Lonchura striata: one gene and its partners. The protein of the gene in region 1 interacts with the protein of each later gene in a biochemical or structural test. Links are inferred from orthologs where the notes say so. Each region holds a gene or a part of one and is shown in the gene's direction. Other genes may lie near its edges.

Evidence for each region.
Region 2: the proteins of SMURF1 (region 1) and RHOB form a complex in vitro, tested with the Homo sapiens proteins (2 studies listed by BioGRID and IntAct, with this or other methods). The link is inferred for Lonchura striata from reciprocal best matches to the Homo sapiens genes SMURF1 and RHOB.
Region 3: the proteins of SMURF1 (region 1) and UBE2M form a complex in vitro, tested with the Homo sapiens proteins (2 studies listed by BioGRID). The link is inferred for Lonchura striata from reciprocal best matches to the Homo sapiens genes SMURF1 and UBE2M.
Region 4: of the proteins of SMURF1 (region 1) and SMAD5, one has a biochemical effect on the other in vitro, tested with the Homo sapiens proteins (3 studies listed by BioGRID, with this or other methods). The link is inferred for Lonchura striata from reciprocal best matches to the Homo sapiens genes SMURF1 and SMAD5.

Annotation. Positions count from the first base shown.
Region 1 is NC_134618.1:14,830,667-14,838,422, reverse strand, and holds the start of SMURF1 (E3 ubiquitin-protein ligase SMURF1), read left to right. Parts: upstream 1-4,694; 5' UTR 4,695-4,884; coding exon 4,885-4,939; intron 4,940-7,756. Other genes in the region: KPNA7 (importin subunit alpha-8), read left to right, coding at 881-961. UniProt on the Homo sapiens protein: E3 ubiquitin-protein ligase that acts as a negative regulator of BMP signaling pathway. Mediates ubiquitination and degradation of SMAD1 and SMAD5, 2 receptor-regulated SMADs specific for the BMP pathway.
Region 2 is NC_134605.1:104,397,422-104,404,248, forward strand, and holds RHOB (rho-related GTP-binding protein RhoB), read left to right. Parts: upstream 1-3,936; 5' UTR 3,937-4,231; coding exon 4,232-4,822; 3' UTR 4,823-6,305; downstream 6,306-6,827. UniProt on the Homo sapiens protein: Mediates apoptosis in neoplastically transformed cells after DNA damage. Not essential for development but affects cell adhesion and growth factor signaling in transformed cells. Plays a negative role in tumorigenesis as deletion causes tumor formation.
Region 3 is NC_134640.1:1,406,050-1,413,580, reverse strand, and holds the start of UBE2M (NEDD8-conjugating enzyme Ubc12), read left to right. Parts: upstream 1-4,440; 5' UTR 4,441-4,507; coding exon 4,508-4,616; intron 4,617-7,494; coding exon 7,495-7,531. Other genes in the region: TRIM28 (transcription intermediary factor 1-beta), read left to right, coding at 349-483, 563-700.
Region 4 is NC_134617.1:8,677,456-8,685,509, reverse strand, and holds the start of SMAD5 (mothers against decapentaplegic homolog 5), read left to right. Parts: upstream 1-5,039; 5' UTR 5,040-5,153; intron 5,154-8,054. UniProt on the Homo sapiens protein: Transcriptional regulator that plays a role in various cellular processes including embryonic development, cell differentiation, angiogenesis and tissue homeostasis.

The DNA of each region.
Region 1 (7,756 bases):
CCAGAGTAGTCCTTGCAGCTTCTTTCAGGTGTTTTTAAAGGTCTGTAAAAGCTCCGAGTTGTCAGCCAATGAGTTGGGCAGCAGACATGGATGCCTTGATAGCATCTTGCTGCTGGAATTTAAACTGGCATCAGCTGGAGTTACTGCAGTTACTGATATGAATACCAAATGTGGAGAGGTTTCCTCCTTCAGAGCTGAGCTGGCTTGTCACTATGAATGGCAGCCTCCTACTCAGCTGATAACAGTGCTCAGGTTGCATTTGGATTACTTGACCCTTCTCATGGTAAAGAATCTATGGAAAAAGAAGATAGGACACCAGCTAGGAGCTGCAAGGGTCCAGTGACTGTCACAGGAGCCATGTTTGGTCCCAGCCTTAGACTTGCAGATGGGAAATCATCAGGGAAGAGGCTCAGAGGCCTGGCAGACCTTGGAACTCACTTTGGGTGTGAGCTGCAGCAGGGGGCAAAGGTCTGGTTTAGTCCTTTGCCAGAGCAGGGTCTGTGGGGTGTCCCTGTGAGAGGCTGTGGAGGAAATTCTCCACACCAGCTCCTGCTGGAGGGGCTGGATTCCAGGGGAACATCCCCCTGAGCAGTCCTGGCTTGTTGCTGTTCCAAGCAGGCCATTTAATTTCAGTGAGCTCTACCACTGCAGCCACTTTTATTTCCTTTTGCTTCTGGTGTCTGAGCCCAAAGGCTTGGCTGCTTTTGTGTGGGCTGCAGGGACACTGCAGCTTTAGGGTGCTGCAAGGAGCAGGAGTTCTGTTACAGTCAAACTGAGATTAACAGGATTTTTAAAGCAAGAATAAAACAGAGTTGCTGTAAAAAGCTTAGGTTTATTCAAATGCAGACACTATAAGTAATTTCTGTCATTTTCCTCCTAGGAGAGCATAAACCTGGAGCCCCAGACTGGCCAAGATGGGCTGTATGATTTCTCAGTGGAGAAACAAGACTTCAACTTCTGAAGATGAAGCATGACACAGCTCTAAACTGGTGGGTGGAGGTACTTTGGAAGAGCTCAGACATCCAAATTGTCAGGAGTAGAGATGTTGAGCCTTTTTACTTCTGAAACTTGTCAATAAATTGCACTTTTTGGCTTTGTTCCTTTTGCCTTTAATTATTTCCCCCCTTCTTTAAGCTGCTGTTGCAAATGACATGGCTTGTTTTGTTTTTTTTTTTTCCAGTAGCATCTTAAGGTCTTGCAGGAGTGTTTTGGAGCCCCTGATCAAGTTTTCTGGGTGGGATCTTTCTTCTGAGCTGTAGGAGAGCAGCATGCTGCCATCTGATCTTTGTTCTGAAACTTCTAGACTTGACTTGGAGTGGCTGAAGTAGCTCTAAAAAACTGTTTGAGAGATGTTTCACCTTTCTGCAGGCACCATCATTGCTGTGGGAAAGGAGCTGAGCCAGGCCCAGGTGGATCAGTGGCCTTGCTGTGTTACTTCACCTGGAAGATGTGGATGTGGGAGCTGCTGAGTAGATGCTGCTCCTTTGGAAGGGAGGTTGTTGGAGGCAGTGCAGGGGCAATGATTCACCTCTGCTGCAGCTTCCCTGTTGCCATCCATCAGCCTGCAGCCCATCGATCTGGCTCTGCTCTTTAATTCCAAGGACCTGTATTTCAGGTTTCCGTGGTGTGTCCCTGGCTCTTGTTCTCCTTCTCTCTAAGCCCTCCAAGTGTGGTCTCCAGCAGAAGGTGAGGATGGAGTTGAGCCCATGGCACAAAGGTTTTGTGCTGTGGGTTCTCAATGAGCTGCTGGCCACTGCTCCATCCTTGCAGTGTTGGTGGTTCCCAGCAGACCCTTCCCCAATCCTTTGCTACCCAGAGCTTGAAGCAGCTCAAAGGCTTTGCTGAAGGCAAGGTGAGGGAGCAGCTTTCCCTCCCTGCTTTGGGGGTTTGGCTCTTCAAAGTGTCCCTGGGTGGGCTCAGGGCTCTGCTGCCTCAGGGGCAGTGGGAGGTGATGTGACAGCTTAATCTGGAGGGGAAATCTCCTCTTCAGGAAACAGAGGCTCTTCCTCTTCCCTGGATCTGTTCATCAGAGGATTTATGCATTTCTCCTGCAGGCCACCCAGGGAAAAGGGAGTTGGTAGTAAATGTGTTCTCTGGGAGGAGCTGGGCAGCCCCGCTTATGGGTAACAGGGCTTAGTATCATTTATTTAATATTCAAATACTGGGATCTGATGAAATGCAAAGTGCTTCTTACATCCAGAACTATGGACTTAGACATGATACAGCACTGCCTGAACATGCACCTGAGCCAGGGCTGCTGCTGCCTGGGCTCTGTGGGCTTCCCACTGCTGATGGGGCACCTGGGAATGGCCACAGCTCCCTGGGCACAAGGAATGTGAGGAAGCTCTTTCCTCAGACACAGAGCTAGGGCCTGTGTGCCTGCCCCGAGTTTGGATTTTGGTCCTCTGTGGACCAGCCCTGTTGGCTTTTCCCATGGCCCAGGCAGGGCTGCTCTTTGCTGATGATCTGATTAAGAGAGAAATAGGAAATATCTTGGTTTCTTTTTCTGGCATGTGCTGGACATAAATCTGTGGTGGGTGGTGTTACACAGAGCCAGGGGCCCAGAGCTGTTCCTTTCCATCCTTGTGTCTGTAACTTAACAAAATATTGTCCTGAAGGCAGAGGCCAGGACAACATGCCCCTCCTAAAAAGAGTGTTGGGACGTGCCTGCTGTCTCCCCTGGCAGCTGAAGAACTGGGCCCAGTGCCTGGGGATCACCAAGGCTCTGTGTGGGTGTGTGAGCGACCTGCAGGCAGCTGCTTGCCTGGCCTGGGGCGCTGCCCTCCCCTGCCAGCCCCAGGCACAGGCAGCAGCTCTGGGGCAATTCCAGCTGGGGGGCAGTGCAGGCATCCCCTCCTCCCAGGGGGATGGGATGGGACACCAGTGAAAGGGGCATGATGATGCTGTCCTTCCTCAGGGCAGCTCAACCTCCCTCCTGTCATGCACAAAAAAAAGTAGTTTTTCTAATTAAAACCTTCCCCAGAGGAGCAGGTGGAGGATCATTGAGGCTGGGAAAGACCTCCACAATCTCCCACTGACTTCCATCAGCTTCTACCCCTTTAGTGCCACCTCTGCTCCCTGGAACATTCTCAGGAGTGGGGACTGCTTGAGCAGTCAATAAATCTTTTCGAACATCTAACCCTGTCACAACCTGGGGCTTTTTCCTTTGTGTTGGCACTTGGGAGAAGAGTCCATTCCCCACCTGGCACCCTCCCATCAGGGAGTTGTAGACAGTGAGAAGGTGCTGTCCCTTTTCTGGAGATGGAACAGGCACTGCCCCCGCCTGTAGTGGTGTTTACCCCAAATTAAGACTCCTTTATTCCTATGCTACTTTCAGGCATCCCTGTGCTCCCTCTGTGTCCCCCCATACATCCTCCATGCCACTGTGAGAGCCCCTATTCACCCCCAGGCACCCTGTCACCCTCCTGCTACCCTGCATGTTGCCCCTGTTCCACCCCTGAGATCACCTATTCATCCCTAAAGGGATCCTATTTGTCCCTTTTCATCCCAGGACAGCCCTAGGCACCCCAATTCCTCCCATTCCACCTCTATTTGCCCCTATGCTGTTCCTCAGGTATCCCCCATCACCCTTTCCCCCCACATCCTGCTCTTATTCTGCTCAATTCCCCCATTATTATCCTCTATTCTCCCATTCCTTTTCCCTCATTTCCCCTCTATTCCCCCATTCCATTCCTTTTCCCCCATTCCCTCTATTCCCCTGTTTTCCCATCCCTATTCCTGAATTCCCCCTCTATTCCCCCATTCCCCCACCCCATCCCTATTCCTGAATTCCCCCCTATTCCCCCATCCCATTCCTTTTCCCATGTTCTCCCTCTATTCCCCCATTCCCCCCCTATTCCCCCATTTCCCCATCCCATTCCTTTTCCCGTCCCCCCTCTATTCCCCCATTTCCCCACTCCCATTCCTGAATTCCCCCTCTATTCCCCATCCCTACTCCCCAATTCCCCTTCTACTCCCCCATTCCCGAATTCCCCCTCTATTCCCCCCATTTCTCCATCCCCATTCCTGAATTCCTGCTCTATTCCCCATTCCCCATCCCTACTCCCTAATTCCCCCTCTATTCCCCCATCCCTATTTCCTCACCCCATCCCTACTCCCTAATTCCCCCTCTATTCCCCCATCCCTATTTCCCCACCCCATCCCTGCTCCCCAATTCCCCCTCTATTCCCCATTCCCCCATCCCAACCCATCCCTGCTCCCCAATTCCCCCTCTATTCCCCCATCCCTATTTCCTCACCCCATCCCTATTTCCTCGCCCCATCCCTGCTCCCCAATTCCCCCTCTATTCCCCCATCCCTATTTCCCCATCCCTACTCCCTAATTCCCCCTCTATTCCCCCATCCCTATTCCCCCACCCCATCCCTGCTCCCCAATTCCCCCTCTATTTCCCCACCCCATCCCTGCTCCCCAATTCCCCCTCTATTCCCCCACCCCATTCCCGTTCCGCCATTCCCGAATTCCCCGTTCCCCCGCGCTCTCCCCTTCGCCAGGGGGCGCTCCCCGGACCCCTCCCGCGCATGCGCCACACCCCGACCTTCCCCGCCCGACCTTCCCCTCATGGCGTCCGGCCGCGGCCGCGCCGCTGTGCGCGCTGACGTCACCGCCCTCCGCCGTGCGCGGGGGCGTGGCGGGGGCGTGGCCACGGCGCTCCGCGGCCGGGCCGGGCGGGCGCGGCGGCGGCTGGGGCTGAGGCGGCGGCTGAGGGCGCCGAGCCTGCGGCGGCCACCGGAACACGGATCCGGGCATTCCCGGCATCGTGAGAAGCGGGCGGGCTCGCATGGCGGGGCTGCGCGGGGCCGCCGGTTGAGCTCGGCGCCGCCGCCGCGTCCTCCTTCTCCTCCTCCTCCTCCTGCTCCAGGCGCGATGTCGAATCCCGGTACCCGCCGGAACGGATCCAGCATCAAGATCCGCCTCACAGGTAACGGGGCGGCAGCAGCGGCGTGTGTGTGTGTGGTGTGTGTGGCCGCACACCCCGGGCTGGGCCCGGGGTCCCCTCCCCTCCATCCCCTCCATCCCCTCCCCTGGCTGTGAGGGGAGGACCGGCCGGGCCCGAGCTCCCAGCCTCGCTTAACTTTTATCCACCGTTTTTCTGTTCCGCTTCTCCCTCTGTGGCCCGACAGAGCCTCTCTGCGCTTTTGTGTATTTCTATTTTTTCCCGCCCCTCCGGCGTGAGGTGGCTGAGCCCCCTTGGGGTGACATAAATGTGAGGAGGGCGGGGGTTTGTCACTGTGTCCCCCTCGTTCTCCAGCAGCTCAGGGCACGCTTCTCCTTCCTGGGGGCTTTCCTGCACCCTCCCCCATGGATGTGGCACTCACCACCCCTCCAGCACCCTGACCCTAGATGGGTCCCTCCTGCACTCCCGATGGAACATCCCTGTTGATAACGCTCCCCTGCATTCTGCCCAATTTTGGGATCTCTTCTGCACCTTCCCTGGCCCTGGGCATCCTTGTGACACCTTTCCCCCTTCCCAGCTCTTTCCCAGGATTTTCCCTGTTCCCTCTCCCATGGGGTATCCCTGTGCTGCTCTTCCCTGGGGTCTCCTCTTCACCATTCCCAGCAGGATTCCCAGGGCCACCTCTCCCACTCACTGGTTTTCAGCACAGCCTGTCATAATTTGCCTTACTTCACTTTAATTAACAACCCCCCCAACCTCCTGTGTGCCAAAGAGGATAACTCAGTTGCTAATGAGAAAATACCCTTTTAGTTGCTTTTAGCTGGATGGTTTTGTGTAGTTTTTTTTTTGTTTTGTTTTGTTTTTTTTTGTTTTGTTTTGTTTTGTTTTTTTTTAGTGTGTTTCTTTAATTTTGCTTCCTTCCTCTCAGCTTGTTTTTACCTGGCACATTGTGGCATTCACCTTTGGAAGTTCCTTCCCTGTGCAGGAGGTGACACCCAGAACTGTGTCTGTCCTGCCTCTGTGTGAGGCCTCTGGAGGGTTCATGGATGGATAAACCAATTTATGTTGGACCCTGAAAGATCTGGATTAAGTCTTTTGGAAGCTGCTCTGGTCGAAGCCGAGCCTGCTTCTTTAATGAGAAGCTGTTGGGAAGTTGAGACTGCTGTGTGAATTATTAAAAAATAAGGTCTAATCCATTCTTTCAAAGGCAACAAGTGGATGTTTGGAGGTCAGTTGGGCTGGAGAAGCCACAGTGCAGCACTGGGTGACCAGAATTGGTCTCTGGAGAGGGATCTTCTGTGTGTGGGTGCATAAAACATTGTCAAATAATGAGAAAACGGTGCTGGTGAAACTGCACTTACAGGTTAACTTGCTCCTGGCACACAACACACTCAGAGGCAGATCATCAAAAAATAAAAATCCTGGTGTTCTTTTAATCCTTTGATTCTGCACCGCTTGTGCTTCAGAAGACCAAAGTTTGTGAGGATAATGTAAATCTGAAAATCCCTTTCTTGGATGGGAGAAGGCTGGAAATATTTTTAGGTTGTATGAATGATGTTTGATCTGAAATGAGTTTTGTGGTGATGTATACCAAATGTCAGCTCAGTCCTTAATGTGGCTTATTTTTATGCAAGTCAGTCAATAAAAATGTGAGTTAAGTAACTTAGGCCATGGTCATAGCCCTTCTGAGCTGGAGGAGATAATTTAAATAACAGAGAGAAGCTGTTGAGTTTAATTTTAAAGGCTGAATGCTGCAGCAAAATGCTTTTTTACTTTTAGCATACACTAGTCTTCTCTCTGGGCTGGGAATGTTTCCTGGAACAGACTGAAGTTTCAGTTCATTGAGCAACTTGGTAGATTTATTTTTTATTACTCCCCATTTTTAACTGCATCGAAGAAATCTCCTCCTTACTCAAACACATCTTCTATTTTTACAAGCAGGAAACCTGGGTGATGTGACAAAAACTGCTGTATTTAATCAACAAATAAATTGCTCTGGGAGAAGTTTAGTTCTGGAATCGTTGGGCAATGCTGAGTTCTTGGCTGGGACTGGGGTGCTGACTTACCTGTCTCAAATAGCTGCAGCCAGCCTGGCTGTTGTTTTCTCATCTCCTCGGCTCTTGGGAGATTTGAGCACATTTAAATCAAGACAGAGGACCTCGTTTGTTATGATTTACTACCTGCATTGTGTTTCCTGTGATTAGGCACCGTTGAAGTTTTGCAGTGAAAATAGCAGTGTAAATACCACTTAGTATGCCTGTCAGTGTCATTGGGTGAATGGCAAGGGAACAGTGGTTAAATCTTCTGTGATTTTTTTTAATCATAATTTTTTCCTCATTTGTTCTAAAGGTATTTACAGTAGCGGAGTGTTGGGGTTATTTATGTGAATATAAGCAAAAGTTCTCAATCTGCTGATGATTAGCAGAAGTGGTCTCCCAGCTTATACAGAATGTGTAAGGATGTCAGTCCTAGCCTGATGCAAATTGTAATGAAGTAAAATGGCAAATAATGCACCCTGTGCAGAAATACTAAAAACCTCAATGTAACAATGAGTTGCATGACAGGTTAAAATGGCTTTGTGGCCTGTTGATCTCAAATATGCTAATCTCCTGTCATATCTCAGTTTCTCCTCTCCTTTTCACTAAAGCCTTTACCCCAGCTGGTGATGCAAGAGCCAGACAGTTTTAGGCAAAGTAAGAGAAAACTTTCTGTTAAATCTATGGTCTCTTCCTATCTGTGCTGCCATCAGGGCAGCGCAGCAGTGGCAGAATTGCCAGCACAAGGATGGAAAAATAAAGTGATCCTGTGAGTGCACATCCTTGCCAAATGTGCTCAGGGTCT
Region 2 (6,827 bases), on another chromosome or scaffold:
TTACAAGCCAGCACGCAGGACTTTGTGTGCCATGAGAGGACATGTGGCTCCCTCAGCATGTTATGCCACAGCAGGCTATGTACTTACTTGCCTACTTATTGACAGAAAGGAGAAAGATTGCCTTCCCCACTGAGCTTTCATACTTTTGGTACAGATTTACACCTGAACACAATGTATCTGAGTTACAGACATGCCCTTTAGAAAATCTGCTTAGAAGAAGAGCAGGGGGGGAATATAAGCTGGAAAAAAAATCTCCAGTAATTGACAGGAATTGTCTTCTCAACTAAAAAATGCCACTTGGATTAAATAAATGAATAAATAAATAAATAAATAAACAACAAAATCTGAGTTTTAATCTCAAAACCATCCCCACAAGCAATAAAAACAAACAAGTGGTGTCTTCCTTCTTTGTCCTACTTCATGCTTTCTTCCTCAATCATACAGAAGTATATGGTGCAGCAGAACTAACAGTATGCTTAGAGTGCACATTTTGCACTAGAACAGCTAACTAGAGGTGAAGATTCAGCTTGCATAAAGAACTACAGTTTATATCATGCAGATTCATGCAGAAAATATAAAAGCTACAATGTCAGTTAAAATTCAGCCCTAAAATACATAAGCTGGATATATTCACTAATTACAGATGTGTAATAACCACAATGACTTAGATGTTCCCCCTAGAGGCTGTTGCTGGAGTGTACCCCAGGACAGTGAAAGGAGTGTGATCTCAGCTTGAGTTGGTCACAGGGCTGAGTCTCATGATATAAAGTTTCTGGAAAAAAATACTTATAAAGCATTTGAAAGCCTTGGTCAAGGTGTTACATAGCCTTTGCTGAAGTCTGTCTTGCAAGGTGAGAGATGAAACATCAGGCACTTTGCTTTCAGTGCAACTGTGTGGAAAACTAGAGATGTGAGACTTGAAAATTAAGCATGAGCCATTAAGTCATGGCTCAGACCATAAGTGGGTGCTGCAAATATATATATACTGCTCAGTTACAAGAAAAAATCATGCTATGGACTTAACTTGAGCTAGCTGGACATTTCTGGAGTAATTCCTTTGCACAGTTTGGAAGCTGGAATCAGCAGACAATTTGGATGAGGTCACCCTGCTTGGCAACCTTTAAAGAGGTAAGCAGCACTCTGGGCAACAATAGAGCCGTGTGCTTTGAAATGAATAAACTGCTTATTTATCTGCCTTCGGTGGCACAGCACAGATGAGTCAATACACGTAACTGCTCATTTGCATTATTCCTTCTTCTATTTAATAAAACATTTTGCTCCTGAAAGGACAAAACCAAACACCCAGGCATGATTCAAAATACAAGCGGAATCAGAAGTATATTTAAGCAGCACCTCTCAGGCCAGGTGAAGCAGTCGCAGCTTCTCCTGCTGCCGCCGCAGAGGTGGGTTTTTCCAGCGGTGGGTTTTTCCAGCGGAGGGTTTTCCAGCGGAGGGTTTTCCAGCTGCGGAGCCGCACGGAGCAGGCGCAGGGCGGTGCAGGGCGCGGAGCTGCCGCGAGGGGGCGCTGGGGCCCCGCCGTCGGCGCGGCGCGGCCGGGCGGCGCGGGGGGAGCGGCGAGCCGGGGATTCCATGGAACGGGAATCCGCCGCAAATCCCCCCGCCCGCCTCTCCCAGCGGCCTTCCCCGCCTGGGACTGCGGAGAAAATAGCTGCAAGCTGCCCGAGCACCATCCCCCCGTGCCAGGAGGACATGGCAGCAGGGGGGTGATTTCCACGCAGTTTGAGAAGAATTGAAGCCTGTGAGCAGTGACAACGGATTTAAAGGGATGATGCAAGCCAGAAATTTGGCTCGCTGGAAGGCCATAGGTACTGAAGAACATCCATGTCTATGTCTACACTTTATTGCTGAATTCTTTAAAAAAATCAGTTTGAATTTATTATGTTCATATAAAATATGCTGTACAAACCTATGTATGATCAAGGCACAAACTCATCCGTCAGCATCCAGGAACATGCTCTTTTGACTGGGAGAAATGGGTATTACAAAAATCTCACAGAAAATGAATTTTATTTCAATGTCTAGGATTAAACGAACCTTTTGCCCTATTGACACACACCCCTCTGTAACAGTCTGCTGCAAGTAACTTGTCAGGCAATTTGATGTACTCAGTGATGCATTCGCTCTCCAAGTGGGTATTTTAAAATGCAACTTTTAATAACAACAGTATTGTACAAACCACTCATTTTTGTTCCATACCCTAATGCCAGTACTGGCTGGGAAAACGGGACACTTCGAATCAAACCCCGAGAGGCAGTAGCCACAAGACATCTGCGCCTGTGCTGGCAGGGAAGAAGTTTGGGACACCACCCGGCTGAGCAGCGGCAGCTGCAACAGGGACCGAGCGCGTCGCTGCCGGCGGTGTCCGTGTGTGCCCCGGCACTGCGGCCACCCCAGCGCGCCCGGCCCGGCCCGGCTCGGCCCAGCTCAGCCCAGCCCGGCCCGGCCCGGCTCAGCCCAGCCCGGCCCGGCTCGGCTCAGCCCAGCCCGGCCCAGCTCAGCCCAGCCAGCTCCTCCTGTGAAGGGACTCGCATCCTGCCCTCCCAGCAACCCCTCACTACAGGGCTTTGCGCCCCTTTATTCTCCACGTTCATTTTTTCCTTGCTGTGACTTCCGATATCCCTGTAAACTGAGACCCAAAGGCCAATTCAGTTCAAGCCTGCTGCTTCTCCCGCTTTGCAATTCCTCTGCTCCCTTTTGGCCAAAAGCTGGCGAGAGTCGAATATGATTAATTTCTTAAGGAAGGGTGTCGAGCGCTTTTCCAGGAGCGCCCAGCGGACGCTTTTATTTTATTCACCCGCCTGCAATGCTCTCTGTTCACTTTGCCCCTGGGACGCAGCGGCGCTCCCCGCTCCTCTCGGTGCCCGCCCAGCCTCTTCACTCAGGCCGTCCCGAGCGGCGAGCCTGCGGCGGGGACCGGCCCTGCCTGCCCCGGCGACAACCGGGATCCCCGGGCCGGGAGGGCTCACCCGGGACAGGCTCACCCGGGACAGGCTCGCACCGGGACAGGCTCACCCGGGACAGGCTCACCCCGGGACAAGCTCGCACCGGGACAGGCTCACCCCGGGACAGGCTCACACCGGGACAGGCTCACCCCGGGACAGGCTCACCCCGGGACAAGCTCGCACCGGGACAGGCTCACCCCGGGACAGGCTCACCCCGGGACAGGCTCGCTCCGGGACAGGCTCACCCGGGACAGGCTCGCACCGAGACAGGCTCACACAGGGACAGGCTCGCACCGGGACAGGTTCGCACCGGGGACAAGCTCACACCGGGCTCGCACCGGGACAGGCTCACACCGAGACAGGCTCGCACCGGGACAGGCTCACCCGGGACAGGCTCACACCGGGACAGGCTCACACCGGGACAGGCTCACACCGGGACAGGCTCGCACCGGGACGGGCTCACACCGGGACAGGCTCGCCCCGGGACAGGCTCACCCCGGGACAGGCTCGCACCGGGACAGGTTGACACCGGGACAGGCTCAAACCGGGACAGGCTCGCCCCGGGACAGGCTCACCCCGGGACAGGCTCGCACCGGGACAGGCTCACCCGGGACAGGCGCACCCGGGACAGGCTCACCCGGGACAGGCTCGCACCGGGACAGGCTCACACCGGGACAGGCTCGCACCGGGCTCGCACCGGGACAGGCTCGCACCGGGGACACGGAGCCCCGGCCGCCCCAGCGCGGCTCCGCCCGCCGCCACCCCGGGCGCGCTGCCCCGGCCCGGCCCGGCCGCTCCCGGCCCGGCCGCTCCCCCCCGCCTCGGCCCCGCCCCCCGCCCGCGGCCGCCCGCCAATCGCAGCGCTCTCCGCCGGGGATGACCTCACTCCTTGCCTTCCCATTGGCCAGCTATATTAAGAAAGCCGCGAGCGCCTTTAAATAGCGGCGCCGGGCCGCAGCTTGCGGCAGTGGCTGCGCGGAGCGGGTCCCGTTCGTGTCTGTGCAGTGAGGCGAGAACCGGCGGCACCGCTCCCACCGCAGAGCTCCGGGGCCGGCGGCGCTGCCCTGCGGCCGTAGCGCTCCCGCGAGGCAGGATACGGCGGCGCGGTGCCGGTGAGCGGAGAGAGCAGGGCGCGCCCGCCTGCCTGCGCGGGCCGGCTCGCCACGGTGCCCTGTGAGAAGCGAGAGGGAGCGGGAGGCGGCGGCCGCGGGGAGGAGGGCGCTGCCATCGTCCTGCTGCACGGCAAGGCCAGCTTGGCGAGCCTGGCCATGGCTGCCATCCGCAAGAAGCTGGTGGTGGTGGGGGACGGTGCCTGTGGCAAGACTTGCCTCCTCATCGTCTTCAGCAAGGACGAGTTCCCTGAGGTCTACGTGCCCACCGTCTTTGAAAACTACGTGGCGGACATAGAGGTGGACGGCAAGCAGGTGGAGCTGGCCCTGTGGGACACGGCTGGCCAGGAGGACTATGACCGCCTGCGTCCCCTTTCCTACCCGGACACCGATGTCATCCTCATGTGCTTCTCCGTGGACAGCCCGGACTCGCTGGAGAACATCCCGGAGAAGTGGGTGCCCGAAGTGAAGCACTTCTGCCCCAACGTCCCCATCATCCTGGTGGCCAACAAGAAGGACCTGCGGAACGACGAGCACGTGCGGAACGAGCTGGCCCGCATGAAGCAGGAGCCGGTGCGCACCGAGGACGGCCGGGCCATGGCCATCCGCATCCAGGCCTACGACTACCTGGAGTGCTCGGCCAAGACCAAGGAGGGTGTCCGGGAGGTCTTCGAGACTGCCACCCGGGCAGCCCTGCAGAAGCGCTACGGCACCCAGAACGGCTGCATCAACTGCTGCAAAGTCCTATAGGGCGTGTCTGGAGCGCGGCGCTGGGCACAGCGCCCGGGTCACCTGTTGGCAGGTGCAGAGGAGCTGGGTTATACGCACACGGCATCTGCCTGTCCCCTCCGCTAGGGACTGGCTGTGCATGGGGTGGGGGCTAAGGGAGGGAGCACGCTCCTTGAGCCTTGGCCAAAAAGGGTTGTGCTTGCTCAGCCGCGGGGACGGAGGGAGGGGGGGATTGCATGCCCTGAATCTTGGGAATAAAGTGGGGAGAAGCCTTCTCCTACCGCTGGCCCCTGCGAGTTAGTCGTGGACTCAACGACAAAAAGCTGCTGAGACTGGACTGAGCAAACCTTGCACCCGGTTCTGCCCCTTTGCCAACACCTGCTGCTTCCTGCTCCCGGGCAGCCTCCTCTCTTTTGCAAGAGGAGGGCGGTGGAGCTGAGATGCTCGAAGGGACTTCTGCCTCCTGCCTGCATGTGCCTCCACCCAGGCGAGCTGGGGAAAGGGGCTGCCTCTCCCAGGCTGCCTGCAGCATCCTTGCTTCTCCCTCACATGTTTCAGCCTGAGCCTGACCTGCTGTGGAAGTTAGCGCCCTGAAGACCGAGACTGGGAGGGGAGGGGAGGGTCATCCCAAGCAAAGCCTGTATATATGTTACCTTTTTTGTCTTGTGCAAACTGGGGTAGTACAGGGGGTGCTTATTTAAAGTGAGGTGGGGAGGGGGTGCCCAGGTGGGACTTGTGTTGTGCAAAGGAACTTGCCCTGAGTGACTGATGCCTGCTGATAACAGGAGCCATGAACTGACTCCAGCTGCAGAAGCCACCAGGCCAGAAAGTAAAGCTGAACTGTCCTGCTTGCTGGATATCCACCTCCTGACAGATGAGGCAGGATGAGCAAGGGGATGATATTGCCATATTATGATTTTGGTGCCTGCTCCTTACTTTTGATGTTGTCTCCTGCAAGTGTGTTGATTTGGGTTTATTTAAAAGTTTATTTTCAAAAGATGTTACTTTGCACAACTCGGTGGAGTTTTTAATGTTTAAATTAAACACTCAATGCGCTCATCTGCATACAACACTGTAGCATTGGAAACATTCTTACTCGGTAACCTCATCTGGGTCTTGTTTAAAACTGATTTCAACACAAGACAAAATAAAACCACTGTATTATTTTTGCCTTGGAAAAAAAAAAAAAAGGGTGAAAGCACTGTTACTTATGCAGTGAGTACATCAGACTTTAGTACTAAAGGGCAGTTTAAAGAATCAAGGTTTATTTAAAACTTATTTTCACAAGGTGGCCAGCCTGGGTGAAAATAATTTTCTGTTTCTCTGGTTCAGAGAACAAATGTATCCATTTATGTTTGTTTACTTTATTCCCTCTTCCCTCAACAGTGGTACTGAGACTGTTTTTAATAAACTGACATGGCAAAAACTGAGATGTATATGATGTTTACATAAAACTATAGTGTATGCAGTTTTTTATGTAAAGTATTAAAAGATTCTATGCTGACACTTGTGAGACCAGTGTTGTGATTCATGGAGACTGTCCTCTGGATATTATTGAACTAGACCAGAGTTTGCCCCTTGCCTACACATGCTTTTATTTGGCTTTTTTCCACTGGGTGAAACACCTATCTGGCAGCTTTTAGAGGATGGTGGTTTTAGTTCCCTTTGGGGGAGCTGCTTCCTTAGTTTTTTTTCAGTGCATGGTATATGGAAATGTATTGAAAAGTCAAGGTGGTGACTGATCCATCCTTGTTGCTGTTGACCACGGGCAGCCTCTGTGGCTCCTGCCTGGGCTCCGGTGAGCTGGTGTTGCAGCAGAACGGGCACAAAACTGAAAAGCAGCACCAGCAGTAAGGATTATTTGTCAAGGAAGTATTTAGATAAAAGCAGTTTTTTTAGCGGTCTCCCCTTTGCTTGGAGCGCATGGCCCTGCTTCCTGCAGCAGCGCATGGGAGCAAACACTGCTCTCTGTTGAACCAGCATCTCCAAAGCTGCCGGGATGGATTTCCCGATTGTGGCCTCATTA
Region 3 (7,531 bases), on another chromosome or scaffold:
GGGGTGGGATCAGAGGATGGATCAGGATCAGGGTGGGATCAGGATCAGGGGGTGGGATCAGGATCAGGGGGTGGGATCAGAGGATGGATCAGGATCAGGGGGTGGGATCAGAGGACGGATCAGGATCGGGGTGGGATCAGGATCAGGGGGTGGGATCAGAGGACGGATCAGGATCAGGGGTGGGATCAGAGGACGGATCAGGATCAGGGGTGGGATCAGGATCAGGGGTGGGATCAGAGGACGGATCAGGATCAGGGGTGGGATCAGGGGGTGGGATCAGGATCAGGGGTGCGCTCAGGGCTGGGATCCGCCCGGCTGCGCCCGCTGACCGCGCCGCCGGTCCCGCAGGACGGCCGCGACGCCATGGACCTGACGCTGATGCGGGCGCGGCTGCAGGAGAAGCTGAGCCCGCACTACCGCAGCCCCGAGGAGTTTGCCCGCGACGGCTGGCGCCTGCTGCGCCAGTTCCACCGCCTCACCGAGGTCGGGCAGCCCCCGGGGGCTCTTCCGGGGCTCCTCGGGGGTCCAGCCCCGCTGGAATTCTCTCCTTCCCCCACCCCAGGACAAGGCGGATGTCCAGTCCATCCTGGGGCTGCAGCGCTTCCTCGAGAGCCGCCTCAGCGCCGTCTTCGGGGACCAGAAGTTCTCCCGGCTCCTGGTGGATCCCGAGGAAGCCCTGGAGGTGCCTCCAGGCTCCTGATGGCCCCTCCCGGGGGGTGAAAGCCCTCCCAGCACCCCCGTTTGCCCCCCCAGGGGTTCGGGTTCCCCCCAGAGCCCCCCGGGATGTGGGGGTGTCCCTGTCCCCCCTTTTCCTGGGGTCACGTGGGAAAATAAACTCCTGCCTCGGTCTCCTGGGTCCTGCCTCGTTTCAGGGCTGGATTTCACCTGGATTTCTGGGATTTCACCTGGATTTCTGGGATTTGCCCCAGTTCCAGGGCTTGGATTTCCTGGATTTGACCCCATTTCAGGGCTTGGATTTCCTGGATTCTCCCCAATTTTAGGCTTCGGATTTCCTTGATTCTTCCCCATTTCTGTGCTTGGATTTCTTGGGTTCTCTCCAACTTTTAGAGTTTGGATTTTCTGGATTCTCCCTCATTTCTGTGTGAGAATTTCTTGGGTTCTCTCCAGTTTTAGAGTTTGGATTTCCTGGATTTGCCCCAATTTCAGTGCTTGGATTTTCTGGATTCTCCCCAATTTTGGGCTTTGGATTTCCTTGATTCTTCCCCATTTCTGGGCTTGGATTTACTGGGTTCTCTGCAGTTTTAGGGTTTGGATTTCCTGAATTCTCCCTCATTTCTGTGCTTGGATTTCCTGGACTTTCCCCAATTTTAGAGCTTGGATTTCCTGGATTTCACCCAGTTTTAGGGCTCAGATTTCCTGGACTCTTCCCCCCATTTCTGGGCTTGAATTTCCTGGATTTTCCCCATTTTTAGGGCTTGGATTACCTAGATTCTCCCCCATGCCAAGGCTTGGATTTCTGGGATTTTCCCCATTTTTAGGGCTTGGATTTCCTGGATTTGACCCCATTTCAGGGCTTGGATTTCCTGGATTCTCCCTAATTTTAGGCTTTGGATTTCCTTGATTCTTCCCCATTTCTGTGCTTGGATTTACTGGGTTCTCTCCAGTTTTAGAGTTTGGATTTCCTGGATTTCACCCAGTTTTAGGGCTCAGATTTCCTGGACTCTTCCCCCATTTCAGGACTTGGATTTCCTGGATTTTCCCCATTTTTAGGGCTTGGATTTCCTGGATTCTCCCCAATTTTAGGCTTTGGATTTCCTTGATTCTTCCCCATTTCTGTGCTTGGATTTCTTGGGTTCTCTCCACTTTTAGAGTTTGGATTTTCTGGATTCTCCCTCATTTCTGTGCTAGAATTTCTTGGGTTCTCTCCAGTTTTAGAGTTTGGATTTTCTGGATTTCACCCAGTTTTAGGGCTCAGATTTCCTGGACTCTTCCCCCATTTCTGGGCTTGGATTTCCTGGATTTTCCCCATTTTTAGGGCTTGGGTTTCCTGGATTCTCCCCCATTTCACGGCTTGGATTTCCTGGATTCTCCCCAATTTTAGGCTTCGGATTTCCTTGATTCTTCCCCATTTCTGTGCTTGGATTTCTTGGGTTCTCTCCACTTTTAGAGTTTGGATTTTCTGGATTCTCCCTCATTTCTGTGCGAGAATTTCTTGGGTTCTCTCCAGTTTTAGAGTTTGGATTTCCTGGATTTGCCCCAATTTCAGTGCTTGGATTTCCTGGATTCTCCCCAATTTTGGGCTTCGGATTTCCTTGATTCTTCCCCATTTCTGGGCTTGGATTTACTGGGTTCTCTGCAGTTTTAGGGTTTGGATTTCCTGAATTCTCCCTCATTTCTGTGCTTGGATTTCCTGGACTTTCCCCAATTTTAGAGCTTGGATTTCCTGGATTTCACCCAGTTTTAGGGCTCAGATTTCCTGGACTCTTCCCCCATTTCTGGGCTTGGATTTCCTGGATTTTCCCCATTTTTAGGGCTTGGGTTTCCTGGATTCTCCCCCATTTCAGGGCTTGGATTTCTTGGATTCTCCCCAATTTTAGGCTTCGGATTTCCTTGATTCTTCCCCATTTCTGTGCTTGGATTTCTTGGGTTCTCTCCAGTTTTAGAGTTTGGATTTTCTGGATTCTCCCTCATTTCTGTGCTTGAATTTCTTGGATTCTCTCCAGTTTTAGAGTTTGGATTTCCTGGACTTTCCCCATTTTTAGGGCTTGGATTACCTGGATTCTCCCCCATTCCAAGGCTTGGATTTCTGGGATTTTCCCCAATTTTAGGCTTTGGATTTCCTTGATTCTTCCCCATTTCTGTGCTTGGATTTCCTGGACTTTCCCCATTTTTAGGGCTTGGATTACCTAGATTGTCCCCCATTCCAAGGCTTGGATTTCTGGGATTTTCCCCAGTTTTAGGACTCGGATTTCCTGGATTTGCCCCAATTTCAGTGCTTGGATTTTCTGGATTCTCCCCAATTTTAGGCCTTGGATTTCCTTGATTCTTCCCCATTTCTGTGTTTGGATTTCCTGGATTCTCCGCAATTTTAGGGCTTGGATTTCTGGGATTTTCCCCCATTTTAGGGCTTGGATTACCTGGATTCTCCCCCATTCCAAGGCTTGGATTTCTGGGATTTTCACCAGTTTTAGGGCTTGGATTTCCCAGATTTCCCCCAATTTTAGGCCTTGGATTTCCTGGATTCTCCCCCATTTCTGAGCTTGAATTTCCTGGATTCTCTCCAATTTTAGGCCTTGGGTTTCCTGGATTCTCCCCAATTTCAGTGCTTGGATTTTCTGGATCTCCCCAGTTTCAGGGCTTGGATTTCCTGGATTCACCCCAATTTTAGGCCTTGGATTTCCCCCAATTTTAGGCCTTGGATTTCCTTGATTCTCCCCCATTTCTGTGCTTGGATTTCTTGGTTTCTCCCCCATTTCTGGCCTTGAATTTCCTGGATTCTCCCCAAATTCAGGGCTGGAATTTCCTGGATTTTCCCCATTTCTGTGCTCGGGTTTCCTGGGTTCTGCCCCATTCCTCCCCTGTGCCGCCATTTTCCCTTCTGCTGCGCCCCCCCTTCCATCCCCGCCCCCCGAGCTGAGCGGGAAAGGGACTGGGAGGAGAAACTGGTCCCAGTTCAGCCCCGGGCCAACAAAGATGGCGGCGCCCACGAGGAACATGGCGGCGCCCACCGGGAGAAAGGGCTCAAGCCCCGCCCCCTGCACGTGATTGGCTGCCGGGAGCCGGGGCGAGCCGAAGTGTTCCGGAAATAGCCGAGCGCCCGAATCGCCGCTTTGCGCCCCGCCCCTTTCCCCGGAAAGAGCCGAAGCGTTCCGGAAACAACCGAAGCGGGGTCGGAGCGCCGGAACGAGTCGAATTCCTGCCGGGAAAAGCCGAAGCGCCCTCAGGCCCGCCCGATTCGTTCCAGGACGTCCCGAACCGCCCCTTCCGGAGACCCCCCCGAGCCCCTCCCCGCCCCGGAGATCTCCGGAGGTTCCGGAAGCGGTTCCCCCGAGGCGGTTCCGCCGCCCCCCCCCCGCAACGGTTCCGAAGCGGTTCCGGAGGTTTGCCGAGAGGTTCCGAAGCCCCGCCGAGCGGTTCCGGAGAGCCGCGGGGCGGCCGCCGGGACATTGCCCAGCGGTTCCGGAGGGTCCCGAACCTCCTCGCCCATCTCCGGAGATCTCCGGCCGTCCCCAGAGCCACGAAACGCTTCCAAGCGCCTCCGAAGCGGTTCCGGAAAGAGCCGAAGTTGCTCCGTCGGAGCCGTCCCGGAAGTGGCCGAGGCGGCGCGGCGCGGTTCCGGAAAGAGCCGAAGTTGCTCCGCCGGAGCCGTCCCGGAAGTGGCCGAGGCGGTGGCGGCGCGGTTCCGGAAAGAGCCGAGCGGCTCCGGAAGTTGCCGAGCCGGCCGGCCCTCAGCGCTCGCCGCCGACCCCGGCCCGGCCCCCGCTCGCTCGGCCCCGGCGGGGCCCGGACCCGCCCGGCCCGGCCCGGCCCGGCCCGGCTCGGCAGGATGATCAAGCTGTTCTCGCTGAAGCAGCAGAAGAAGGAGGAGGAATCGGCGGGCGGCACCAAGAGCTCCAGCAAAAAGGCCTCGGCCGCGCAGCTCCGCATCCAGAAAGGTGCGCGGGGGGGGAACGGAACGGGAACGGGAACGGGAACTGGGACCAGTGAGGGATGGGAACTGGGACCAGTGAGGGATAGGAACTGGGACCAGTGAGGGATGGGAACTGGCACCAGTGAGGGACAGAAACTGGGACCAGTGAGGGATGGAAACTGGGACCAGTGAGGGACAGAAACTGGGACCAATAAGGGACAGAAACTGGTCCCAGTAAGGGCCTCAAACTGAGGCCAGTGAGGGACGGGAACTGGTCCCAGTAAGGGCCTGAAACTGGGGCCAGTGAGGGACGGGAACTGGGACCAGTAAAGAACGGAAACTGGGACCAGTGAGGGTCAGAAACTGGGGCCAGTGCGGGCTGCAAGCTGGTCCCAGTAAGGGATGGGAACTGGAACCAGTAAGGGCCTCAAACTGGGGCCAGTAAAGGTTGGAAACTGGGACCAGTGAGGGATGGGAACTGGGACCAGTAAGGGTCGGAAACTGGGACCAGTAAGGGCCTCAAACTGGGACCAGTAAGGGCCTCAAAGTGGGGCCAGTAAGGGCCTGGAACTGGGGCCAGTAAGGGACAGAAACTGGGACCAGTGAGGGATGGGAACTGGGACCAGTATGAGCCATATGCTTGGCCCAGTAATGGCCACCAACTGGTCCCAGTAAGGGCCTCAAACTGGGGCCAGTGAGGGACGGGAACTGGGACCAGTAAAGAACGGAAACTGGGACCAGTGAGGGATGGAAACTGGGACCAGTGAGGGTCAGAAACTGGGGCCAGTTAGGGCTGCAAGCTGGTCCCAGTAAGGGATGGAAACTGGAACCAGTAAGGGACAGAAACTGGGACCAGTAAGGGCCTCAAACTGGGACCAGTGAGGGACGGGAACTGGGACCAGTAAGAGCCACATGCTTGGCCCAGTAATGGCCACCAACTGGGCCCAGTAAGGGCCTCAAACTGGGACCAGTAAGGGACAGAAACTGGGACCAGTAAGGGACAGAAACTGGGACCAGTGAGGGATGGGAACTGGGACCAGTAAGGGACAGAAACTGGGACCAGTAAGGGCCTGGAACTGGTCCCAGTCAGGGCCCCAAACTGGTCCCAGCAGGGCCGGCAGTTCAGGGCCGTTAACGGTTCTGGGGGGGCCGGTACCGGTTCCGGGTACTGGTCCCAGTAAGGGGCAGGGACTGGTCCCAGTAAGGGGCAGGGACTGGTCCCATTAAGGGGCACAGACTGGTCCCAGTAAGGGTCACAGACTGGTCCCAGTAAGGGGCAGAGACTGGTCCCAGTAAGGGTCACAGACTGGTCCCAGTATGGGGCAGAGACTGGTCCCAGTAAGGGGCAGGGACCGGTCCCAGTAAGGGGCAGGGACTGGTCCCAGTAAGGGTCACAGACTGGTCCCAGTAAGGGGCAGGGTCTGGTCCCAGTAAGGGGCAGGGACTGGTCCCAGTAAGGGGCAGGGTCTGGTCCCAGTAAGGGGCAGGGTCTGGTCCCAGTAAGGGGCACAGACTGGTTCCAGTAAGGGTCACATACTGGTCCCAGTAAGGGGTGCAGACTGGTCCCAGTAAGGGTCACATACTGGTCCCAGTAAGGGGCAGGGACTGGTCCCAGTAAGGGGCAGAGACTGGTCCCAGTAAGGGTCACGGACTGGTCCCAGTAAGGGGCAGAGACTGGTCCCAGTAAGGGTCACGGACTGGTCCCAGTAAGGGGCAGGGACTGGTCCCAGTAAGGGTCACGGACTGGTCCCAGTAAGGGTCACAGACTGGTCCCATTAAGGGGCAGGGACTGGTCCCAGTAAGGGGCAGGGACTGGTCCCAGTAAGGGTCACATACTGGTCCCATTAAGGGGCACAGACTGGTCCCAGTAAGGGGCAGGGACTGGTCCCAGTAAGGGGCAGAGACCAGTCCCAGTAAGGGTCACAGACTGTTCCCAGTAAAGGGCAGAGACCGGTCCCAGTAAGGGTCACATACTGGTCCCAGTAAGGGTCACAGACTGGTCCCAGTAAGGGTCACAGACTGGTCCCAGTAAGGGGCAGAGACTGGTCCCAGTAAGGGTCACATACTGGTCCCAGTAAGGGTCACAGACTGGTCCCAGTAAGGGTCACAGACTGGTCCCAGTAAGGGGCAGGGACCGGTCCCAGTAAGGGGCAGGGACTGGTCCCAGTAAGGGTCACAGACTGGTCCCAGTAAGGGTCACAGACTGGTCCCAGTAGTGCCTTGCTGGGGACTGGCAGTGGGACCAGTTGCGGCCACATACTGGGACCAGTAAGGCCTTGGTGAGTGTCCCAGTTTGGTCCCAGAATGATCCCAGTATGACCCAATATGGTCCCAGTATGGCCCAATATGGTCCCAGCATGGCCCAGTTTAGTCCCAGTATGGCCCAGTATGATCCCAGTATGGCCCAGTTTGGTGCCAGTATGGCCCAGTCTGGTCCCAGTATGGCCCAGTCTGGTCCCAGTATGGCCCAGTTTGGTCCCAGTATGGCCCAGTCTGGTCCCAGTATGGCCCAGTATGATCCCAGTATGGCCCAGTTTGGTGCCAGTATGGCCCAGTCTGGTCCCAGCATGGCCCAGTTTGGTCCCAGTATGGCCCAGTTTGGTCCCAGTTGGGCTTTCCTGGGCAGGGATGGGCCAGGCAGGGGTGGGGGTCACGGGATTGTCATGGCCCTGTCACATGTGTGTCACCTGTGTCCCCAAATGTCCCCTCAGTGTCCCCAATGTCCCCTCAGTGTCCCCGCTGTGCCTCAGTTTCCCCCGGTGTCCCCGCCGTGCCTCAGTGTCCCCACCGTGCCTCAGTTTCCCTCAGTGTCCCTGCTGTGCCTCAGTTTCCCTTGGTGTCCCCGCCGTGCCTCAGTTTCCCCCGTGTCCCCGCCGTGCCTCAGTTTCCCCCGTGTCCCGCAGACATCAACGAGCTGAACCTGCCCAAGACGTGCGAGAT
Region 4 (8,054 bases), on another chromosome or scaffold:
TGGTTCCATAAACACTAACAGCATTAGAAAATACTGAAAGTCTTTTATTTCACATTAATTGAAGTAACTATGACAACATAACACAATTTATTTCCTTTAACATTGAATGGTGGTAAAATTGGCATTGTTTTAGGCCAGTTCACAATTTGCATCAGAAATAGCCTTGTCAGTTCTGTAAGCTGTTTTATGCTCAAATTTTTCAATTATTCTTTTACTTCTTTTTCTACTTCTCTGGTGAACAGATCAAGTGTTAATGACATTTAAAAGGGCTTTTTTTGAGCTACATAAGACTTAATAAAACCATAATTTTTCATTTTATTGCTTCAGTGGGGAAAAGCTGTTAATTAGGAGTGCCATGGTAAAGAAAATTGCATTTTGGCTCTGCCTACCAACTTGTTTATTCTGCTTATAAACAATTGGTCCCACTTAATGACTAGACCATACTGTATTTACTAGCTACTGTCAAGCATTCCCAGACCTCATAGCTTTATGTCTGTGAAACACTTGCATATTATGATCTCACCTCATGATACAGAATATCTCTATTCAAGTCCATACATGAGGTGGAAAGTCTCCGAGATGTACTCTGAGGTGTAAAATTAGTGTAATTCCCCTGGAATGAAAGAGATGTGCCAATTTATATCAAGTGGAGCTATGGCCCACAGTGTCTCAAAGACATTTGCTTTTGTCTAGAAAACAAGCAAACAAATGTTCTTCATTTCAATGGAAAACAACACTTATGTCTCTCTTTGCTCAAGTACAGAAGGAGATCAAAGATGGCACAAAGCCTCCTTGCAAGGCAGTGTTCCACTTCCAGACAATTAAAACGATAGTATCAGGGAAATGAAAATCTATTCCTTGCCTAGGTGTTTCCCCTCGTGGACTGGAAAATGACTTGGTTTATCATTTTCTGTCTTTAGGCAAAAAGGTAACTCTTATTTGCATGTTTGTCAGTTTGTGCTTGAGAGTACAAAATTTACTTAAAAACAAGCTCAGCCAGCTAAATGAAATGCCAATGCTCTTATTATCCTGAGAGAGCAGAGCACTTAAGTCCATTATTAAAATTAAGTTAATTGAATTTAAAAGTGGGCTTAAAGTAAAGCACAGCCATAAATACTTCACTGAATAAATGGGAGATTATTCTTATGCTTAAATGTAAGCACTAATCATTATTTTCTTAAAACTAAAGTTTATAGCCTTCTATCAGCAGTTCCAACTATCCTACTAAAAATACCTGGCACTAAACCCAGAATTTTCCCAAGAAATCACTTCAACAGCACGAAAAGCAAGACATTGCTCATACAATAAATTAGAAGAGTAGGTTTGAAACAAGAACACAAATACTAAAATCTGGGTGTGATGAGCTGTGTGTAAGAAAGGCAGGAAAGAGCTTATTTCAAGTTGAATTGTGTGGCTTTCTCAGAAACAGTTCTTTGGCAATCTAGAATGGAAAAACCTCCTTGCTCTACAAAACCCCAAAATGTCAGTATTTAGGGGTAGTGGAAACTGCAGAACAACTATAACTGCTCTGTGTTTATACACCCAAGATCCTCTGCATCAGAGCAGTCTTTGGAATCAAAACTGGGGCCTGAATTAAAATCTTGAGCCCTGAAATTGCCACTGATATATCTGACTGATTTTGGACATGTGGTATTTTCTAGCTGAACTTAATTTTCTTTGTATTTCTAATAGCAATGCAAATGCTTTCCTCTTAGAAAGTGTAATAACTAAATATTCCTCAAGTAGGTTTCCATTCTTTTGAGTTGGACCAAAGAATCTCTGGCCTACCCCTCTTCCACTGCTCTATACAAATTTGTCAAAGTACCTCATGAAATACATTGTATTTTACTGCTAGTTTAGAGAAGGAGGAGAATGGACAAAAGGAGAAGTTCAGCAGCAATCCCATTTCGTCATTGTCAAAAATCAAGTTTTGGAAGTTGCTTTTTCCATTAGATGTTCCTCACTGGCACTACTGTTTCAAAAGGATTTTTCTTCCATCAAACAAAACTTTTCAAATGACAAATTACTGTTCTGCCTGCTACCATTTTCTCCTCAGAGAAAATGAAAAAAATCCTTTTTTTTTTTTTTTCTTGTTTGGCATGAAGGGAAGTTTCTCATTATTACACAGCCCTGGTATCACTGGCAAAGACCAGATGCCTGTTTCAAAACACAACTTTCATTATTGTACATAGTGATACAAAAATGTGGATGCAAAGGTGCAACAGGGTTCACTCAGTATCTGCAACTGGACTATGAGCCCTCATAATCATGCTTTACCGTACTGAAGCTTCACTAATTTGAGGTTTCTATTGAAATTACCTTTAATGTGGAATTCTTAATAATAGTTTCTTAATCTAGATTAGAATAATTGATGCATTTTTGAGTTGTAAACTCAAAATTCAGAGTGTAAACTCATTCCTGACTTTTTGGAATCTTTGCTTCTGAGTCTATTGAGAAAGCTAGAGTGGTACATAAAGAAAAACAATTTCACAGTTTTTGAATAGAAGACTTTTACTCCTATTAACAGGTGTGTTTATATGTGTAATTTAGGTAGATGTAAAATATTTGTAGAATGGTGGAGAGGCAGAATTGGGGTATCACACAACTTACAAAAATTTAAGACCAGAATTACCAATTTACAAGGCCAGAATTTGTGATATTATTGACAATAAAATATGACTGCTGTGAGAGATGAGCTCCAGAATGAAAAACAGTTCTGCTGACATGTGAAGAATACGAGGTGGTTGCAGGTGGGATCAAAGGCCTGTCCAGCTCAGTGTGCTGGACAGCAGCCACAACAGGGATGCCCAGAGGAAGAGTGCAAGTGCTGGGAAAACAGTGATGGCATGGAATCCTCCCCATGGAATCCAGTTTACAACCATGGGACTTCCAGAGCCAGAGACCAGTGTCTTGTACCTAATGACTCTTAACAGGCTTTGCTTTTGTGAATTTGCTCTGTTACCAGTTTTGATTTTTGAATTAATGTAAACCATTAGTAGCCACAATGTTTGGTGGCAGAAATTCAAACTTCTTATTATACTTTGAGTGAAGAACCATCTTCTTCTTTTCAAAAGCCTGCAGCTAACCTTTCTTCCTCCAGAATTTGAAGACAAAGGCTTTTCTTTCACCTTTTCAATTTGGGCTTTCTGCAGGTGTCTTTAATGTCTCTTTTCAGCTGTTTCTTTTCCAGATGGAAGAGAATATTTAGGCATGCTCTGCATGGGACCCATCTGATCTTCAGACCACTCCTTTTGGCCTTGTCTGTACTTGTACCAGATGTAGCAGATCTCCTTGAGATGGAGAACTGTCCCTCTGTCTGGAACCTCTGATGCAGGTGCACCAGAATTCCCAGCATGGAATCAATCTTTTCTTTTTTGCTATTGCTTTTGTTGCAATTCCTGATGTCCAGTGCATTCCTTGGTGATCAAAAATTCATCCAATACCTGCACTGAACTATTACAAAACATAGCTAGTGGGTGATGTTAGATCATGTAATCTTGGATGTTACTTCACCTCCACATGTGCTACTTTGCATTTATATCTAGACTGGATTTCATCTACCTTTTATTTCCCACTCAGTATGGGAAAGTCGTCCTTCAATTCTTCACACCAAGTCCTCATCTTCCCTTTCATACATGACTTTGTTATCCACAGTTCATCTCAGTGCCTTCTCCAGCTCACCCAGTGACACAATGATGGTGTGCACCAATGGGCACTTTTCCCTGCCAAATTCCACTTCCTTTGCTGTGGAAAGGAACCAGAAACCACCACTCTTTGCTGCCTTTCTTTTGAGTGGTTATACCCTTCAGGAGACCATTACCTCCTCTTCCCTAGCAGATAATCTTCTCTGAGACAAGTGGGAGACATTGCCAAGAGCCTTTTAAGAAACCCAGGATGAATAGATCAAGAAGAATATTATCTTCCTCATACTCTGGCTGAATCGTTCAAAGAAAGGCAGCAGTAATCTGCAAAATCTGACTTTGACAAGCCAACACCTCACAGGGGGCTTTAACCTTCCTTTCCACTGCTGGCTCAAATCTTGTCAGAACGTTGATATTCTGGCAGGGGAACTCGAGCTTGCAGTGTGAGGGAGACACAAAGTTTCTCCCAAACTGGGGTATGAGAGGGTTGAGCTGGTCATTCACAGCTCTAGTCATCTTCATGAAGAGCAAGGGATAATGATTAGCCATAATCATAATAATTTCATTTTTTTAATAGGAAATGTTTTGATTCTGCAAGCATCTAATTGCATAAATTCGATGTTCTGTTTTAAGTGGTTCTTCTAGGGGGTTAAAATGTTCCTGTTAATTGGACTTTGGAACCTCTGTGAGCTCTGTTGTCAACAAGACTAATCTGTTTTAATGGTGTTTAGCTCAGTAGCTACACAGAGAACAACCTGTCTTTTGGAAACCTGTATTCTCATTTAAAAATGTTACTCTCCATTTCTGCCATCTTGTTTATACATACAGAGTAGTAAAATGCAAACATAGGCCTGGTATAAAGATACTTTATAATTTTTACTTGAAAAGCACCAATATCCTAATTAAACTTTCCAATTTTGAGGTGTGTGTGTTGATGTGAGCCCAGACATAGCATGTGAATACGTTAAATATGTGTATACATATGTATTTATATGTATTATATATGCATATACACATTTATATCCATTAAAAACTCAGATCGTGCAGAGTTCATATTCTATTCAGTGCATATTCTTCTTGTGCAGAGAGACTTAATGCAAAGAATCAATACACCGTGATTGTAGTTCCCTTTTTATAAAGCAGATAAATTAACCACCAAAAGGGATCAGCGTGCTCTGGGGCAAAGCCAGGATTTACCCCGGCAAAATCCAGGGATTGTAGCACAGGCACAGCACAGAACATGGCTGCGTTGCATCGGAGCGAAGGGCGGCATTGCAGGATGGAAGAAGGAAGCAGAGAAAGACCCGACACACGAGTTTTGCAGCAAGTTTGCAGAGCGGGCTGCGGACTGTCCGGCGGCAGCTCGGGGCCGTCCCGCCCGTCCCGCCGGGCCGGGGCCCTCGCGGGGCGCTGCCCCGAGCCGGGGCCCTCGCGGGGCTCTGCCCCGAGCCGGGAGCGGGGCCGCGGTCCCTGCACGGGGGCAGAGAGTGGAGCTGCACTAAGTGCTGGAAGGTAATGCTGTGTTCCTTCGGCTTGTTTTGGTTTGGTTTTTGGTTGGTTTTCGGGTTTGGGGTTTTTTTGTTTGTTTGTTTTGTTGGGGTTTTTTTGGGGTTTTTTTTTGTGGTTTTTTTTTTTTTTTTTTTTTTTTTTTTTTTTTTTTTCGCGAGCCTGCCGGCCACTGCATTTGCTCCGCTTTCAAGTACGTTGTGCAGCAGGGAAGGAGATCCGCGGAGACGGCGTCACTTTATAAAAGTTTCCAGATTCTACCGAGCTTCTTAGTTGTTTTTTTTCTTTCTTTCTTTCTTTCTTTCTTTCTTTATTTTTTTTTTTTTAGGAGAGAGGTTGTACTATTCGCAATGCAAGTGGGCGATGTGGCCGAGATCTAAATATACCCTTGCGAAAGCAGAACCCCTGAGATAGCGACACCGATAGCTCAGGCTATTGTTAACTTTCGGGATTCCAATTAAATCCCGCAATGTTAAATATTTATTTAATTACTGGAGAGGGAGCAGGAATTCTTGTTGCCTCCACTAATGGAGTCAGAATAGTGCAGTAGGGGAGTTTTTTCTCCTGCCCCCCCATCACCCCCACTTCCAAATCTAAATAGCTGCGGACAAGCACAGGCTGGAATATGAACATTAAGGAGAAAAAAAGTTTCAGCTTTTATTTCAGTCGGGTAAGCGAACTACATTGCATGTATTTTTCCATATCTTCAGCTCACTCCAAACATAACATTCCAAAGGATAAAATCTGTTACAAAATAAAACTGACTTTGTGACAGCTGAACTTCTACGTGTAGTCTAAAAATTATCTGAAAGCGCCTCGAGAATCCTAAATGTCATTCCCAAGATGTGGCGAATTGTAATTACGGTTGTGAACTATTTTAGTGGCAGTGCCTTACACGGGGCCAGGCTAAGCAGCTGGAGCATTTATGAATTTATTTTTTGCCCTTTACAGTATTACATATGAAGATACTTAGACAACATCAGTACTAATTTGTATCAGATTAGAAAAAAAATGTAACCAAATTGAAAATGTGTTGTTTTCCTTTTGATTTTCCTTCCTGTACTTCCTTTTAAAACATATGTCATAGGGCAGTGCTTAAAGAGTGCAAGAAGACTCATCAACAATAAGATAGTGAGAAATAACATTATCATTACTATATTACTGTTTTATGATTTTCTCATCTTACTGGCTTTTCCAAGAACTTTTGGGTTTAGAAGATGGTCCAGTTCCCACTTCTCCCAAAAAAAAAAAAAAAAAAAAAAAAATCAGTGGAAATTTTGGTAAGAGAAAGCAAATAGCTTTCAGCACACTGTCCAAAAGCCTTCCTACACTATGCCCAAAAGCACTTTCATTTACAATAGACATTATTATGTTTGTATATGCAGATCTTGATATGGTAGAGGAAATTACTAAACCCAACTGTTTGGTCATGAGGCTGGAAAACAAAATTGTGTCCCTAAGTGTGCCACAAAATTTAAATGCAAGTTATAAAGGCTCAGCACCCTGTAACTTGGTGACTCCGTTGGAATTACACCCAGAAGGAGAAAGTCAGGTCGTGTCAGTTCCTACATGAGAAAGCCTGAGTGCTCTGCACTGCCATCACTAATTTGTTTTGTGTTGGGAAATCCTGAGGTGATAAAACGGCTGTTAGAAAGTTGGCTTGTGAGTAATTAAGTGTAGGTCTAGCTATTAAAACCTGATTTGTTACTCATAGGTTACACTCATCTGTGTTGCCTTCTTTCAAGGTGCAGATAAACTGCGTGTTCTTTTCACTGGTCTAGGCCAAAAGTGGCTGTGTAATGAATTGAGAGATGTCAGCTCTGGGTATGGTTTATACATACAGGTGGGAAGAATTACCTTTATCACAACAGATACAGTTACTATAATAGAGAGCTTCTATTTCAAACCATTCTTTTCTCCTTTCATTTATTTCCAGAGGAAATGCTGGAGGATGCATACCCTTCTTCATTTAAAGTTTAAAATACTTATTTTGCTCATAAGCAAAACTTAAAAAAAAAAATTAATTTCTGTTTCAGAGTGTGTCTGTTTACTATACTGAAGCTTCTCCATAGAGTGGGTGTAACCAGGGGAAGAATTTGGCCCATGATGTGAGCTAAATTTTCAGTGCTTCCACTATTTAGAGCTGCGTTGTGCTAAAAATAGTTTTCCTGTGGTTTTGGCCATGGAGCCACAAATGCAAGTTTTCAGTGCACAGTTATTGTGGACGTTGGGTCCTTCTATTGCTGGATGACACAGCTCATGACTGTGTCAGCAGACGATTATGTTGAGTGAGATGCTTATGTGAGGCTGCATGTCAGATCTCCTCACTGTCCTGAAGTGAGCATGTGTCCCACCCAACTGCCAGAGACCACCAAAAGGACCATGCTTGGAAGGCAGTGCTTGGGCTGGGCACTGAAAAACCCTATGAAAAACTGGGACCATGCAGAACAGAACATTGAGGAATTCACCCAGAAATCTCCATGTTTGACTAATAGTATGGTATATAAAACAAATGGAGGGAAGGGAGTAAACCTTTAGGAAAGGAAGACAAATTTTCTTCATGGCTAATTTGAAGCCAGTCTTCATCAAAGAAAAAAACTCATAGTGATCACAGGATTATGGGACATGTAAGGATGTCACTGTGATGTCAGATTCATCCTATTTCTGAACTACATGTTCTATCCCAATTCCATGGTCCAACTTCTCTGTTGTCCATAGGAAATTGGTCTCGTTGTTGCAGACAGCTTTGAAGACGCAAGGGCCAACTTTTTTCTGAGCTTAGTAGCAGGTGTCAGACTCCAGAAAGTGCTCTTGTAATGTGAGGTCATATTCTGGAAATAGCTGAAAATCACTGATTTAGAAGAATGAGAACACTGCATGTTTCTGTGCTGATGATGTGATGGTGAG